2 linked regions of the Coturnix japonica genome follow. The protein of the gene in region 2 purifies or fractionates together with the protein of the main gene of each other region. This does not show direct contact. Links are inferred from orthologs where the notes say so. Each region holds a gene or a part of one and is shown on either strand. Other genes may lie near its edges.

Region 1 (7,633 bases), on a different chromosome or scaffold from region 2:
TCGCGAGACAGGGGAAACATTGTTCTTGAGAGATGCCAGATGGGACCACTGTACCTTACAAGAAAACAAAACATAAAACATTCAATGCGCTCAGAATAACCGGCTGTCCAATTAACACAGAATAAAGGCAGGTGGGGTGGGCAGAGACAAATTGTTATGGCATTAGGTAAGCGTGGGGTGGAATCAATGCACTTAAAAGCAAGGCAAGCGCCCAGAGAACGCAACAGACTGAAAATACAGCACATATGCATTTTTGCGAGCTACGCTCTCCACATACACATACACTAGTGCCCAAAAGAAAAGGGGACCTAATATCTGCACCATGAGCATGGGGTCAAAGGCCACACAAGACAGGAGCCAACTTCTGCTCCCCAGTCCTCAGTGGGCTTTGGCCAGATCTCATGGCGGCACCAATGGGTTGGGAAAATTGAAGTGGTTATCCAATTGAAGAAATGTGCAAAATTAAAGAAGGCCATAAAGTGTGCAAACCAACAGACATTTATGTTATCTAAAAAAATTTGGAAACTAGATACAGTTCCAAACTTTTGGAGAATGACCATAACATAAAAGCCTTTATTCCTTTAGAGTCGTTGCAATATATATACAGAAACATAATATATATTGTATTGTTGTATACAGTATACATATGGGCAATGCATATTATACATATGCCATATATGTACCATATACTGTACATATACACATATTCATAAACAAACTAAACACACACGTACACATGCACATATTCAATTACAGATATTGAGAAGGCACAGCAGTGACTCCAGAGGTAAAAACCCTTGGGGATTTTCCTTGAAATCCATACTGATCCTCCACTCCAGCCTACTCCCTCCTTGTGCATAAGCGCACATTTCAAAGTTAATTTCTGAAGCCAAGGAGGAGAAAAGATCAAAACTGAAGAACACACTGCATCTGCACCTAGTAATTAATCGAAACTTCACTTTCAATGTCATTATCAGTAGGTTGGCTGTACGTATTTTTATATGGTTATTATTTCCTCAATTTTTATACACACAGCTGTTGAAGAGTCTGATTATTCTTAATGTGAGTGGAAGGCCAGACTTTAAAAGTAACTGGCACAGAGAACACAAAAATACAAGTGCAGTACTTTGAAATAATCATGGAGGTTTGAATAAAAGCCAGGAATTAATGAGTCAGAATGAAGTTCTGTCCTGATTTCTCCCACTCTCTCGTCTGCTCAAATTCTCCTGTCACCCAAACGAGTTGCAATGCCTAGTCACAATCAGGAACAGGTTTAGCTTGCGCTGTCATCAACTGACTTATTTGGGAGAAAGAAATTCTGCATGGAAACAGACAAACTTAATATAGAAGCACACTTTTAACATAGCATATCTCAACTGCTTGGGTTATTTATAAGTTTTAGACTTCAGATTATTTTTTAAATTCATACTGTAAGTCCTATGAGATATAGTTACCAAGTTCTGGAGGTTTTCATTAGCAAACAACAGGATGACAGCAGTCACATTGCTCAGTGGTTCCAACCTCTTTTTGATTTTCCAGGGGTGGTAACAGAGCTTTATTTAGCAAGTATAAGCCCACTGACAACAAACTTGCTTTTCTTAGTCGTGTCTTGTGGATTTCTTTAAAGCAATGCTTATTCTGCTAAAAAACATGTTTGTTTGGTTTTTTTGTTCCCCAAAGAGCTTAGAAGACTAAATCAGCTCACTTCTTTCCTCAACATTCTTTTTGATAACAAATACTATGCACAGATCAAATTCTGAATTATAGAAGTGTACTGCACCTATGACCAATATTTAGCTGACTATTCCACTCTTGCACAGATAATAACAGAACAACAGTTTTCTTTAAAAACAAAGCAGAAATCTACCCGTTTATCAAATCAGTAAGCAAAACCATACAAAGTTAATCTAGTAAATAAGCTATTTTGAGTGAGAATGTTACTCTTTAAGTAAGACTTTCTCTGTGCCAAGATCTGAAAAAATGAAGGAAACATGTTAGGACTTCTTGCACTTCCTCCAGGCTCACCAATATTTCCCTGGGCACTTACTTGGGGCTCCATTGGCCTCTGCAGGGCAGGCTGAGCAGGTTCTGAGTTTCCATTGGAAAAGGACTCTGATCTTGAAGGCACTGGTGGCTCCAACACTTTGCCCATCTGCTTAGACTGTGCTTCAGGGGAGCCCTGATTAGTTTTTCTAAATCTCTCCTCCACCTAAGAAAAAAATACCAAAAAAAAACAAAACAGGTTATATCTGGAGTCAGTAAAACCAACAGCAGTAGAAGTAAGAAGGTGACTACTCTCTTCTTTTGCCATATAGAAATGAAATATATTTGAGGCCTGGCAGGGTTTTCATCCCTGCAGGTTTCACCAGCAATTTAAGCACAGTGAACTGCATCAAAATGTCAAGCATGCCAACATGGGAAATACATACCAGGAAAGAGCTTACAGTGGCCAGTATGCTGTGAAGTAATAGGAAAGACCTATCAGGGAGCTTCCTGCTGTCTAGACTAGTTAGCACCCATCAGCAGACATAGACAACAAAAGGGATATGTGAAAGTAGAAACAACTTTACAATTTCAAAATACTTTTCCCATTGTTATTCCTTGCTACAAGTAGAAGCCCCACTAACCTAAAGGGAAGTATGTTATTCAGTTATATGCTTTCCTCTGTGTGTCCCTTTGGCAATGTGAGAAGAGATAGATGCATATGCTTCTCTATCTGGTAATACTTGAGGCAGTTCGGCTTTAGGTATGAAGCTGTAGGACTACTCAAACTCTCTCTTATCAGATGGTCCTGAAACAACATCAAAAAGCTGCACTCTGACCTCAGACTGCAGAGAACAGCCCCTGCAACTTACTTCTGCTTCTCAGAGACACGTAGAAGTGACTGTATGCTAACCCAGAGAGTTCTGCGAAGGGAAGACTTTATCAGAAAGTGCAGAGCCCTCAAAAGAATATCAAGCAAGCTCCCCATGCAGAAATGTCACCTCTTTAAAGCCTGTGGCATCGAGAACAAAGAGAGCAGTATGGAGGGAAAGAGATGGAAGGAAGCTATAGGCAGAAAGGAAATATCCTCCCATTTCCCACAATGAGCCACTGCTGGAATCACAGCAGTGTGTGCTGTGCCTTGTAGTCAGAAGAGTGGCCACTGAGGAACACTAAACTCCCAGCACTTTACCAAGTGTTAAAGATGAAACTGGAAGCTGGGGCTGATTTTATTTGCTGAGATGCTGCTCATATGGTCTGCTTTAACTCTTGTACCCAGAGCATGAAACCATTATTTGGGTAGTTTCCTAATTGCTCCTAAGCAATGTTGGCATGATGAAAATATTTCTATATCAAGGTCAGAAGACAGATGTGAGTCTCCAGGACTCCTTAACAAGGCTGCTTTACAAGCCCAACCTGCCTCTGCTTTCCAAAATTAGAGGACAATAACAGTTTGCCAATGGGAGCAACCAGACAAGCTTCTGCCAAGTCCATACAAAATACACCATGTCTAGAGAAATAAAGCAATAATGAAGTCAAGTATCTTCACCATACAGTCATTTTCAATATCATGTCAGTCTCACAGGCCAAACTCCTCTTATCAGTCTCCTTCTTAGGAACAGAATAAGGAAAAGCCCCAAGCCTTTCTGTCTGAAGGAACAGGCTTTCATGTCCCTAGCTGTAAATGACAGGAGGTTTCCTCCACAAAGAACATAAACTGCACAAGCCACGTGTTCTCAAAGACTGGCAAGACATGGGAAAGAGACAGTTCATCCCTGGATAGAAATAATCCCTGTTGCAGTCATCTGACTGTCTGGACCAGAAAACAGTATTAACTTTCATTTCTTGCTCTAAGCTTCCTTCTGTTTCCTAGAGCCAATTTTAGAAATCATCTTCCTTATATACTCATTGGAGCTGGAATAAGGAAAAATAAAGCCCTGGTCATCATTAGACTTAGCCAGAACTGGAAAGTTAGCTAACGCTGGATTATCATCTTGATGGTCAACATCTCAGTGGATGAAGACTTCCTCTGAACTGAAATCTTTGTGGAAGTATGAGGCACAGAATACTTGCTCCAAGTCAGTAATTCATGTCAAAAATTACATCAGCTGATGCTTGCTTTTAAGACTAACTGGTGTCGCTCCCACTGCCAGACAACGAGGTATTATGGCTATACTCCTACTGTACGTTTTAAAAGAGAATATTACATAGCAGACTCCAAGAAAATCTGACTACTAACACATTTTTTCCTTTGCCTTCACTTTATTCTTTCTACCTAGCACGATCATAATAGGAAAAGATGACATTAAAAGAGCTGAGTCAGCAGTTCTGTTAAAGGACTTGGAATCTTTAGTTCTTCTTCTTTTCAACTCTGAAAGGAAAAAGGCAGAGGAAGAATGGAGATGGTTCTCTGCCCCTCCAAAACCCTCCCTCTGGTGGGATAGGAGTGCTGGACCGGCACTACGCTTTCACCAAGGCAGACCAGAAATGAGCACGAGGAAAAGAGGGCGGGTTCCACACCTGCACCACAACATGCTGGACGAGTCTGAACCTCTTCCAGGAGAAATGCACATACCAAATACTTCAGCCAAGAGCAGATGAGATAGCAGACTGTGGTTTATGAAGAACTTGGACAATAGTATCTCTAAGAAAATGAGGTTTTGCTCATCAAGTCCCAACAGCAATACTTCAAAGGCAGTGAAACACTAGTGGACACAGGTGGACTGAAAGCTATTTTGTAATGTTCAACAACCACAACTATTTAATTTTTTTTTGGTTCTTGTTCCAAAATGTATTTACCTAATACCCACACACTGGTGATGAATGCCATTAAGAGTTTTGATCAGCGCTGCCCAATCTAGCAGCTTACAGGCAGCATGATGTCCAAGGGAAACATAAGAAAAGGACTGCTGAAAAAGCCAAGTATGCATCAAAGAGATAGTTACTTGCTTAGTGACGTTGACCACGGACCAGTGAAGGCAGGGGACTATTCACTGAGACAAACAGTACTCTGATGATTTCAGATGGATTTGTGAGTGCCTGAAGTTAAAGATGGAAGCACCACAGAGTTTCATAAAAGCAAGCTGTGATCTCAGCAGGTAAAACTCATCAGAAATGAAACTAACTCACTTCAGGCTTGTACTTATCTGAAGCAAATTTTTAAGACCGTGGGCTAAAGCATCTACAGGTGTTGTGTGCATTCATCCCTTATGGGTCTCCATTTTCCAATTCCCTCCAAATTTCCCCTTTTCAGTACCTGCCAGCAACACAGCCTGACAACTGCATTAGTACTTCCTGTGAAGACACCTGATAAAGTCCAGATGAGATTACCTCCCTGACTGGATTCTTCCAGTATCAGGTCCCCCTCAGTCTGCAGCACTTCAGAAATTCCTTCAACCTTTTACATCTAAAAACAGTCACTTACAATGACAGCAGAAGTAACCAGAAGCATTCCTTGGGTTGGGAAACCAGAAACCAACACTTGAAAACATCCTTTCCCTCAATCACGACACCTTGGTCTCCGTACATAGTGCAGTAGAGCCACAGCTACCACGATGCCAACAGGTGCAGGGATGGGGGAGCAAGTAGCATATTCCTCTCCATGAGCAGGACTTACCTCACGCGCTCTTTCAGCAGGTTCATAGTGGGATTTTGGCTCAGGGGCATGATAGCTTTGTTTATTTCTTTCCTGCTGCTGCTGCTGTTGCTGCTGCTGTTGTTGCTGCTGCTGCTGCTGCTGCTGCTGCTGCCGCCTGTGATCATGCTGCAGTGACAGGAGGTAGGCTTGCTCCTGCTGCAACTGGCGTTGGAGCCGCTCTGCCTGTCGATGCTCCTCCATCTCCCGCCATCTGTATTCCTTTGAGAGAATGTGTGAGTAATTCAAGACATGGCATGGAATATATGGTAGACATGTTCCTATCCATCCCATTAAAACTGGACATTTCTGGTTGCTGTTGCTTTATTTTTTTTATTTATTTCATTGTTAAAGTGTAACCAAAAGCTAAGCTGGATCAATATGACATGCGTCTCATGTTGGGAAAGCTGAGAATATACTGCTACGCTTCACATGATTGGAGAATTATGTCAAAACTGATTTTTGTTAAAAGAAAAAAGAACAAAGTTACTTATACTAGATTCAGTGTAAGTTCATAAAACAATGATTTAGAACAACACTAGGCCATTGTATCCTGGGGTGGATTTACATATCATGTGTGCTTTTGATCTGCAACACAAGCACTCTAGTTCTTCAAGGTCTGTTCAGAAACTCGACCGCCAAACCAGAACTGTTCCACTTTAACATAAAGCCTCCTCTTACAGCCCAGAAAGCAGTGTGACCACACAGCACTTCTCATATGTGCCTGTCAGCCCACGACGCTAGCATAAATGGCCTTTTAATCAAGCTCCTTTGTTGTCATACTGTCAGTGCAGCTGTGCCCGACTGAGGGAAGCCCAGGACTGGCCAGATAAATGGATCCTATAGCTACTGAACAAAACAGATACAGTGCTTTACCAGTAACATGGCCTGCTCCTGGAGCAGCTGCTGCTGTAGAATTTCCAAGTGCCGCTGCTCCTCTTCTAGCTGTCGCCTGATATACTCCTGTCACATAGAAATTACCCAGCAATGAATTTATTCAAAAGGAATGCATCAGAACCCCCTGGGTGGCACACCGCACGCTACTTCCCCAGTTCAGCTTTAACGAGAAACGCACTTCAGGGTGGATTAGTGCCTGCAGAACAATTTAGGAAGCCCTGTCTCCTGAGCATCGTATTTTGGCCCCTTCCATTCCGAAATTTGGACTCCTGCAAATGTTGCCAGCATGAGCCAGAGCTCATTTACATATTTTGGAAGTGATTTCAAGAAGCAGCACAATGCACTTGAAGGTTTTGGTAAAGTTAAAACACAGCAAGTCTGACTCAACACAGCCAACACAAAGTCACATGCAAGTTGGATTAAACATTAGTTTGTTGCACCGGTGCGATGAACTGTTAGCAACAGCTAGAGCCAGGCTTAGTGCGGGCAGAGCTGGTGCAAGCTCCCCACAAAGGGGCTCTGCCAAATGCAGTTCAGCCCTGCCCTGCCTTCTCCCCTGCCGCCCTCACCAGAAGCTTCTCCTGAGCAGACGCTGCCAGCCTTGCTGAATTATGCGATGAGTTATGACACAAACAAACATCCACCAGGAAACAGATATTAGAACAAACTCGCTCGCTCTTGCGATCTAGCTGTCTGTTCACCTGCAGCCTTCACAGCTCAAGACATTTACCTGCAGCTTTGCCTGACCCCCCTACCACAACTCAAAGTCTGAAGCACCAAACCCAAGCTGGTAACATCCTATCATGCAATTAATGGAGATACGTAACACATGCATGCACGCACACACACACGCACGCACACACACAAGCACGCATATGTATACAGTGTATGCATAAAGAAATTAATGGTTCAGAGATACAGTGATGGGAGCTATAGAAAGTCTTGCGACAGACTGATGACGTCCACTATATGGTCATTACGCACACTGGCTGAGCCGTCATTTAGAGGAACAAAAATTCTAAGAGAGGACACGTCTTCTCTCTTTTAAATAAAAAATAATTTGTAGTCGTTTGACCGCATCAATTAACCATTTGTCATTATTGGCACTGTGCGTAATTA
Region 2 (8,345 bases):
AGTGTTGGGACACAAAAAGCCAGAAGTTCACCAAAGGCTTTCGGCATTATCCCTCCCACCCTCACCCCAGGCACAGCTCTGCTTTGGAAGGCACTTCCAAGAGTTACAGCTGTTTGTTGGCTCCTGCAAACACAAAGTGCTGTCTTAAAAGAGGCATCATGAAATAAGAACCAGCACAAACCTTGGTTCTATTAAACAACATCAAATCACCGCTACGCAAATGCCAACACCATCCATAAAGTACATCAGCAGCAGTGCAAAATACACTAGAAGAAGTCTTCCATTTACAACTGAAGAACTGCTTGTAATCTAGTACATGAAAACTCTTCTGTTCTGATAGTCCAAGTGTGCAGCTAATATCCTAGACTGGAAGCCTTCAGTGTGACCTGCAGACCGTTTCTCATCTACTCCTACAGAGGCACACAGTTAAAATCCAGAAGGTCCTGATCTTACACAAGGAAACATCACAAGAAAGGCAGATCTCAGCCAATTAAGAACCGTGATTAAGGAGGACATCTTGAAAACACAAAGTCTGCTCTGATAACAAGCTTCACTTACAGTCTATCAAAAGCCGCATCCATGTGGATGGATGGATTCATGTATTGTTTCTAAACATCATTAAGACTAATTGGTTAGATAGATATTCACTGTGCTCAGAATTCAGTTCTCAATATTCTATTCTCACATCCAATACAAGCGTGACCATCTCAAACACACCTTAAAGCTTCACGTCAGCCAAATAATTTCCTGTTACATGACACCTAATTCTGCGAACGTTCTGTGCGGTATGAAGTCAAACATCCAGGAGATGACAGATCTCAGGAGACATCTGAAATACAAGAATACAAGAGGACTTGGTTAGCACACAGACCTACCTATAGACCGAGCTGGAAGCCTCCACCCAGAGCAGATGTATTAACAGATTCAACATTCCCCTTTTCCTGATGTTTGTTTTTCATGTCCATCCCCTGTGTCCTCAGCCACTGCAGTTAATCCCGCTGTAGAAAGCGCAGAGCTTCCATCTGATTTGTACTGATCTCAAACCAAAGTACGTCTCCCCCTTATTAAATCTCTGACTAAATACTAAAAGCAGCATTAACTGCTGAAAACAAAGCTATAAAGGACAATAGCAGCGGGTCACAATTCAGTGCTTTCTTATTACGGGAGAGTTACACTTCCATTTTGTTGGCAGTCTCTTTTTTTGTGGGTTTGTTTTTCTCTTTTTAATCACCATTAGAAGTTAACAACCGCTGAAATGAGATGTTACGACACATTAGGAGGGACTAAATACAACCACTTACTTAGAAACCAATACCATTTGGTAAAACGAGAGTAAGCAGATCAACAGTTACATAATAGATGACATCTCCCACACAACACTAATCAAAACCAAGCAAACAAGCCCAAAATAATGAGCTCCAAAGAAAAACTCACATGAATACAGCCAGCAAATTTAATTAATCTGAACGCTATGATCATCAGTTGAAGGCAAATACCAACTCCAGATAAACACAGTAATATATGTGATAGAAATTCAGTTAATTTCTCGATGACCAAAGTTGAAGGTTTCTTTCTAAAAAGGCCGAACACAAACACGCAGTTTATCTGTGTTTGGACTCGATGCCTAAAACACGAGGCTTGTTTCTGTTTAGATCTCAGCCACCCTTGCAGAAGATGAGGAAAACCAGATGTCACGCTCTGAATAAAAACATACCGCTGAGTCAGACGTCAGAACTTAAAAACACTTAAACCTGTCCAGCAACCGAGGAATATTACATTAAAATTTGTACGTTTGACATTCAGTTCTAGTAATTATCCCCTGGACCTCCCTAATAGTGGTTGACCATAAATTAGATCGTGGTTAGATGCAGACATTCACCGTTTGGTGGAGAAAAACCATCTGCCTGCAAATGAAACAAGGAAACACGCTCTGCACATCAGCTATTGAGCAGCTTCCCTCTCATTAATGGGGAGCCACTTTGGGATGGAGTTAAGGATGCCTTTGGTAGACGTGCGTGCAACTGGGTACGACTTCAAGCACAAAGAAGCCATACAAGCTATGGTGGCTTCATCCAGCTCTTCCTGAGATACTGGCTAGACAGCAAAGTGTCACGGCGGAAAAAAAGCCAAAGTGATGGCACACAGCACTGCTCAACACAGCGCAAAGGGCTGTGTGTGTATATACACAGGTTACCAGCAACTCAAGCTAACCACAGAATCACAGAATGGCCTGGGTTGCAAAGGACCATGATGATCATCCAGTTCCAACCCCCTGCTGTGTGCAGGTCACCAACCAGCAGCCCAGGCTGCCCAGAGCCACATCCAGCCTGGCCTTGAATCCTGCAGGGATGGGGCATCCACAGCCTCCCTGGGCAAATATTATTGTTCCTATAAAGGCTACTCAAAACTCAAACCAAATGATGCCAAACCAAAGCATCAGAACTTGAAATTTCAGTATCTGGTAACAAAGCAATGGTAAGCACGACCCAAATGTCACTGCACGCTGGCTTCTATGCTGATGGGGAACTGCAGGCTCTTTGCTCACTGACAGCTTCAGAAAGTCCTATTTACACTTCAAAAATAGACACAAGTTCATCCTTGCAGCCCCCCCACCCCCAGCCAGCAGGCATCACACCTGCCATTTGTTTTGTCCCTAGCCCTCATTACTTCCAGCGTCTGCAACTCAGCCTCAAAGTATCCTTGTCTTAAGAACCAGCAGGCCAGATGATATCAGGAAAAATTCAAATACCCAAAGGGAAAAATGCCAACTTAATTATACCTGCTGCATAGCAGGAGATGCAAAGAGCTGCAATCTCGTCTGGTTTGCAGACAAGATGCTACATACCAGGAACTCCATTCTGTATTAACACACACTGTATCAACCTCTCACATTTCTTGATTAAATAAATGCAACCTACAACTGTTTCCGCATTCTTGAGCCCATCCTGAAGTCTGGTCCTTCTCTGGATTTCATTGCGTGCATCCACGTGGTTTCAGAATAGTAGCAATGCAGTTTTTCTTCTGAAGCATTGGGCTGTTAGACACCAAAGGGACGAGTCCTGTTTGCAACCTCCTGTTCCAAAGAGGTTCCAAGAGAATCAAATCCATCCGTGAGAGCAACTGATGCAAATGAATTAAAGCCTCCCGAAGTTGACAAGTGTTACAGGCACAAAAATCAATCAAACCCTCTGCAGTCTGCAGCGCTGTCAGCTGTGTAAGAAGCGCCACGAAAAAGCAAAGAGCCTGAATTACAAGTGTTTGAAATCTCCATTAGGAGATGAAAGCTCCTTTTGGAGGTGGAACAAATTGCATTCGACTGACGTGTTAGAATTAGAATTGTGGTCTTTAATTGACGCTGGGGGTGTTCAAGGAAAGGCTGGATGTTGTGTTGAGGGACATGGGTTAGTGGGAGCTATTAAATAGGTGAATGGTTGGACTGGATGATCTTTTAGGTCTTTTCCAACCTTAGCAGTTGTTCCATCTTAGTACCAGGAGACTTGGATTCTAATTCATACAGTCAAAACGAGGATTACTTGTTGACATCAATTTTGAACAGCTCAAAATAACCCAGTCTTCAAGTTTGGGCAGCTGTGATGAAGGGGCAGGAGATTGCTAACAGAACTGCCAGCAGCGGTTGAACAGCTTTGCTGTCATTTGTAGCTGCACGTCATGCTGAAGGCTGCATTAATCTGAAATTCTACTTAATCTCAACTCTGTGCAAGCCCGATAGAGCAAAGAGAGGCTGCAAAGAGAAAGCTTAATGCCGAGGTTAATGCCACATGAACGAGTCGTTACACTGATGTTTCTGAACATACATTGAGCAATTAAAGTGAAAAAATAAGCTTCCTATACAATAACTATTTTCTGCTTACGTTACTGAGTTTATTTATGGACCTATCTTGCAAAGACAGATGGAAACACGGATTTAACTGCCTCTAAACAATCTACACACTGACATGTAATTAATATGGCCACGCACATCTAAACAAGACTTAAAATGCTGCCTTGACCAAGTTCAACTGGTCTCCAATTTAAGTCATGCTTCCACGATGAATCCCACTGATGCTTTTATGCTACCCAGTACTGCAATGGAATTCATACTTTCCATTATGCTTCTGAGAAAATCCTAATAGTACACCTGCTCCCCCAGTGAGATTTACACCACGTAATCCTATCCTATACAACCCTAACCCCTATCCTATACAAGGCAGTGCATCCAAAATCATTGCGTTTTAATGCTGTGATGGATATAAATCAGAAGTGATGCTCACATATGAAGTCACACTGAGACACCACACCAGCCGGCCTTGGGATAGAGGCAAATAAAAGACTATAAGAACACTTCCATCATCACCTGCATCCCCCCTCTATGGGCGACCACTTAAAGCACGACCAGCCTTCACAAACCTCTCCCACAGGACACAACAGGAACCCCCAAGGATTCCAGAACAACTTTCCAGCATTGTTAGCCCTGAATGTCGCCGCTGTGACACAAAGTTCTCAGCACCCACCATGGAGGAGCCCAGGCTTCAACCACCTACTATGGGCGACCCGGGGGGGGCTCCATATCGCAGTGGGGGTGTACCTGAGCCTGGTGGGAGCTGCTGTAGAGTGGGAGTGTGAAGGCACAGCCCTAAATGGTCGAGGTTTAGAGCTACTGACTGTACTTATAATAATAAGAAGAAGCGAAGCACTGGCTCAGCTCAAAGGAACGAGCTCTGTTTGTGATGTACGCCCAGCCGAGTGCCAGCAATAGGCGGTATGATATGAGACCTCCAACACAGCACACGGAGCCAGGCAGCCCCCCCAACCCCCATAAATAAATACATTAATTAATTAATTAAACCACAAAATATGAAGAAAATAACTAAGAGGCAACTCCAGCAGCCCCCAGTACCGCAGCACAACAGATAGGAGCTCACCATAACAGCCCGGCCGTGCTGCCTTTGTACACCAGCCCCACGACCCCCGGGCCCGCTCCTCCCCCCTCCCTCAATAGTAGCCGAGCCCCATCCCGTGGTCAGCCCCCTCCCCCCATTACCGGAGCTGGGTTTACCTGTCCGCCCCACGGGAGCCGTCCGTCCTTCACTCCGCGCCGCCCCCCCCGACCCGCTGGCTGAGTTGCGCTCCCCCCGCTCACGACATGGTACGTCCCAAGGCGGCGGGTTGCCGCGGCCGCGGGCGCTCCCACTCGGCACGGCCGCGGGGGGGGGGAGGGGAGGGGGGGGTAAATCCCTTGGCCCCGCTCCCGGCCTCCTCTAATGGCGGCGGCTGGAGCGGCCCAAAGCAAAATAAACCCCCATACGGCCAGCGGACCGCACGTCAGCACGGCATGCCGGCATGCCCCGCGCCCATTGGACGACAGAACGACTCCCGCTCCGCCAATCGCCGCGCGCCTCTTTGGAGAGAACGGATGACGTCATCCCTAACACAAGTGGGCGGGGCTAAGGGTGAGGGGGCGGGGCTATCTTTGGCCACGCCCCCTCGGTGCTCACCTTGGTGCTCCTGTATCCCGTTATTCTGTGCTTTTTTTGGCACAAAAAGCCGAATTAAGCACAGTTTGTGGAGGATATTTGAATTTTCCATCCTTACATCACCCGTCTGAGTCAGCACCAGCCCTCGCAGCTGCTAATTTCATGCTCTTGTTCCCATTTTGGGGTGAAATGTATAAATATCCAAGTGCAGCTCTGTCACTGATATAGCTCTTATATAGCACCATATAGACATCATATAGCTAACATATAGCTCTCATATAGCCATCATATAGCTCTTATATAGCTCTCATATAACTCATATAACTCTCATATAGCTCTCATATAGCTATCATATAGCTATCATATAGCTATCATATAGGTATCATACAGCCATCATAACTATCATATAGCTATCATATAGCTACCATATAGCTCTCATATAGCCATCATATAGCCATCATATAGGTATTGTATAGCTATCATACAGCCATCATATAGCCATCATATTGCTATCATATAGCTATGATATAGCTATCATATAACTCTCATATAGCTACCATATAGCCATCATATAGTTATCAAATAGCCATCATATAGCTACCATATAGCTCTCATATAGTTTTCATATAGCTATCATATAGCTACCATATAGCTCTCATATAGTTCTCATATAGCTATCATATAGCTAACATACAGCTCTCATATAGCCATCATATAGTTATCATATAGCCATCATATAGCTCTCATATAGCTATCATATAGTTCTTATATAGCCATCACATAGCTCTCATATAGCCATCATATAGCTATCATACATCATATAGCTATCATATAGATCTCATATAGCCATTATATAGCTATCATATAGCCATCATATAGCTCTCATATAGTTATCATACAGCCATCATATAGGTATCATGTAGCTATCATATAGGTATCATATAGCTATCATACAGCCATCATAACTATCATATAGCCATCATGTAGCTCTCCTATAGCTCTCATATAGCCATCATATAGCTATCATATAGCTCTCATATAGCTCTCATATAGCTAACACATAGCTAACATATAGCCATCATATAGCCATCATATAGCTCTCATATAGCTACCATACAGTTCTCATATAGCCATCATATAGCTACCATATAGCTATCATCATATAGCCATCATATACCTATCATATAGCTAGGAGCAACTGTGCAGAAATAGGAAAGGAGCGAGTGCTGAGTTGTTAGCTCCTCAGTCCCTCTGTTTCACTAGCAGCAAGGAAGGAGCTTAAAAGCTGAGAGCACTTGAAAGCATGCACTGTATTTGTCTTCATTTCCTTGTGGTTCTGCAGGGAGCAGAAGAAGGGGGTGGTGGAGTCAATCCATCACGTTAGGGCTTTCCAGCTGAAGAGTTTGAGCCACCTGATGTGGGAATCTTAGAAACTTCCCTTGGTTGGGCAGATATTTGGTAGGTAAAAGAGACAAGAGAAAAGCAAAGCACACAAAGGAAGATGGAAAAGCAGGAGGCGATGGTGATGGATATAATCCAGTGTTCTCATTCAGGCTCTGGGAGGATGCAGGATCTGCCTGTCCCAGATGGCAGGCACAGCATGGCTGCTGCAGTGGCTTTGAGCATGCATCAGCAGGTCTGTCATAGCACAAGGAGGCAGCAGGGGGGTGGGAAGGGGGGGTATAGAGAAGAGGAGAAAAAGAAGGAGAAAATAAGGGAAAATGAGGAGCTGAATGTTAAAAACAAAAGGGAAAGAAAAATAAAAGATGGAAATGCAAAGACATTTGTGAGGACTTAGACAAAAAGAGAAAAAATGTATTGAAATCCATAAGCTAATTGCTGCTGAGGAGCTCAGGCTGAAAGGGTCTGGATTGCTTTGTGCAATGGCCAACACGTCGCTTATCCCCAACAATAACACATTTAACCACTACCAAGCACCTGCAACTCCGAAGTGTTGACAGAAAGAGTAATACGAACTCCTCCAACTCTGCTAAGTGAGTGTGGGTAAAAATACTGCATTCATACAACCTCTGGCTTAGGTGCCGAGCTCAGGTAGCTCCCCACTCTGAGCACAAACAACACTGAGAGGCAGCACCTCTCCCCAGATATTGCCTATAAATCATAGATGCTAAACTCCACAGCCAGAAACTTGGCTGGGAAGTTCAGACTCGTGCATTTTCCTCCTTTAAGGGAGCATACCGCTCCTCCTACATAGCAACTCAGTGTTATCGGGTGGCATTAGCACTCCCCCAGTCAGACACCATGTCAGCAGCACTCAGCATTTGGTGAAAGTGAGAGGGGGATTTATTGTAAAAGAAGGCTACGCAGGAACGTAAAAGGCAACAGAGAACAGACACAGCTCACAGAATGCAGTATGTCATGCCAGGCGTAATCACTGCCAGCTAATCAGATTATTCGATGAGACAGAGGGAGCAAAATCCATCTTCCAGTTGACGTAATCCGCTGATAGACTTCTGAAGGGTTCTGAAGAACTCCTTTTGTTTCAGAAGCCATTCCCTTCACTTCTCATTGAGGCGTCTTGGTTTTTCATTGGCAAACCTAAGACGAGGTTTGTTTTGGTTTTGATTGCTTTCATTCCTACCTTTAAAAGAAGAGGATTCGGTCATTATACAGCTATTGTTTACCTGTATCAATCATCACAGAAGCTGCTATATCTTCATTTTGGTGGAGGCTATGCCAAAATCATGGGTAGATTAGAATAGAATAATTGCAGTGTAGCTCTGTCTGGGATCACTGTCTCTCACTGCACAAAGAAATGCTGAAGCAAAGCTAAGACATTTATCGAGCAGCAGGTGCTCATTAGCTTGTTGTCAGTACTCTCCCATTGATAGCTCCTACGTGGATATTTTG

The links. Proteins that work in one complex are often made in the same cells at the same time.
Region 1: the proteins of ZRANB1 (region 2) and MAP4K4 purify together in Homo sapiens (affinity purification with mass spectrometry; 3 studies listed by BioGRID and IntAct, with this or other methods). This does not show direct contact. The link is inferred for Coturnix japonica from reciprocal best matches to the Homo sapiens genes ZRANB1 and MAP4K4.

What each region holds. Positions count from the first base shown.
Region 1 is NC_029516.1:120,470,762-120,478,394, reverse strand, and holds part of MAP4K4 (mitogen-activated protein kinase kinase kinase kinase 4), read right to left. Parts: intron 6,581-7,633; coding exon 6,494-6,580; intron 5,840-6,493; coding exon 5,600-5,839; intron 2,210-5,599; coding exon 2,048-2,209; intron 55-2,047; coding exon 1-54.
Region 2 is NC_029521.1:28,651,765-28,660,109, reverse strand, and holds the start of ZRANB1 (ubiquitin thioesterase ZRANB1), read right to left. Parts: upstream 5,349-8,345; 5' UTR 5,057-5,348; intron 3,038-5,056; exon of another isoform or gene 2,919-3,037; intron 830-2,918; exon of another isoform or gene 718-829; intron 1-717. UniProt on the Homo sapiens protein: Ubiquitin thioesterase, which specifically hydrolyzes 'Lys-29'-linked and 'Lys-33'-linked diubiquitin. Also cleaves 'Lys-63'-linked chains, but with 40-fold less efficiency compared to 'Lys-29'-linked ones.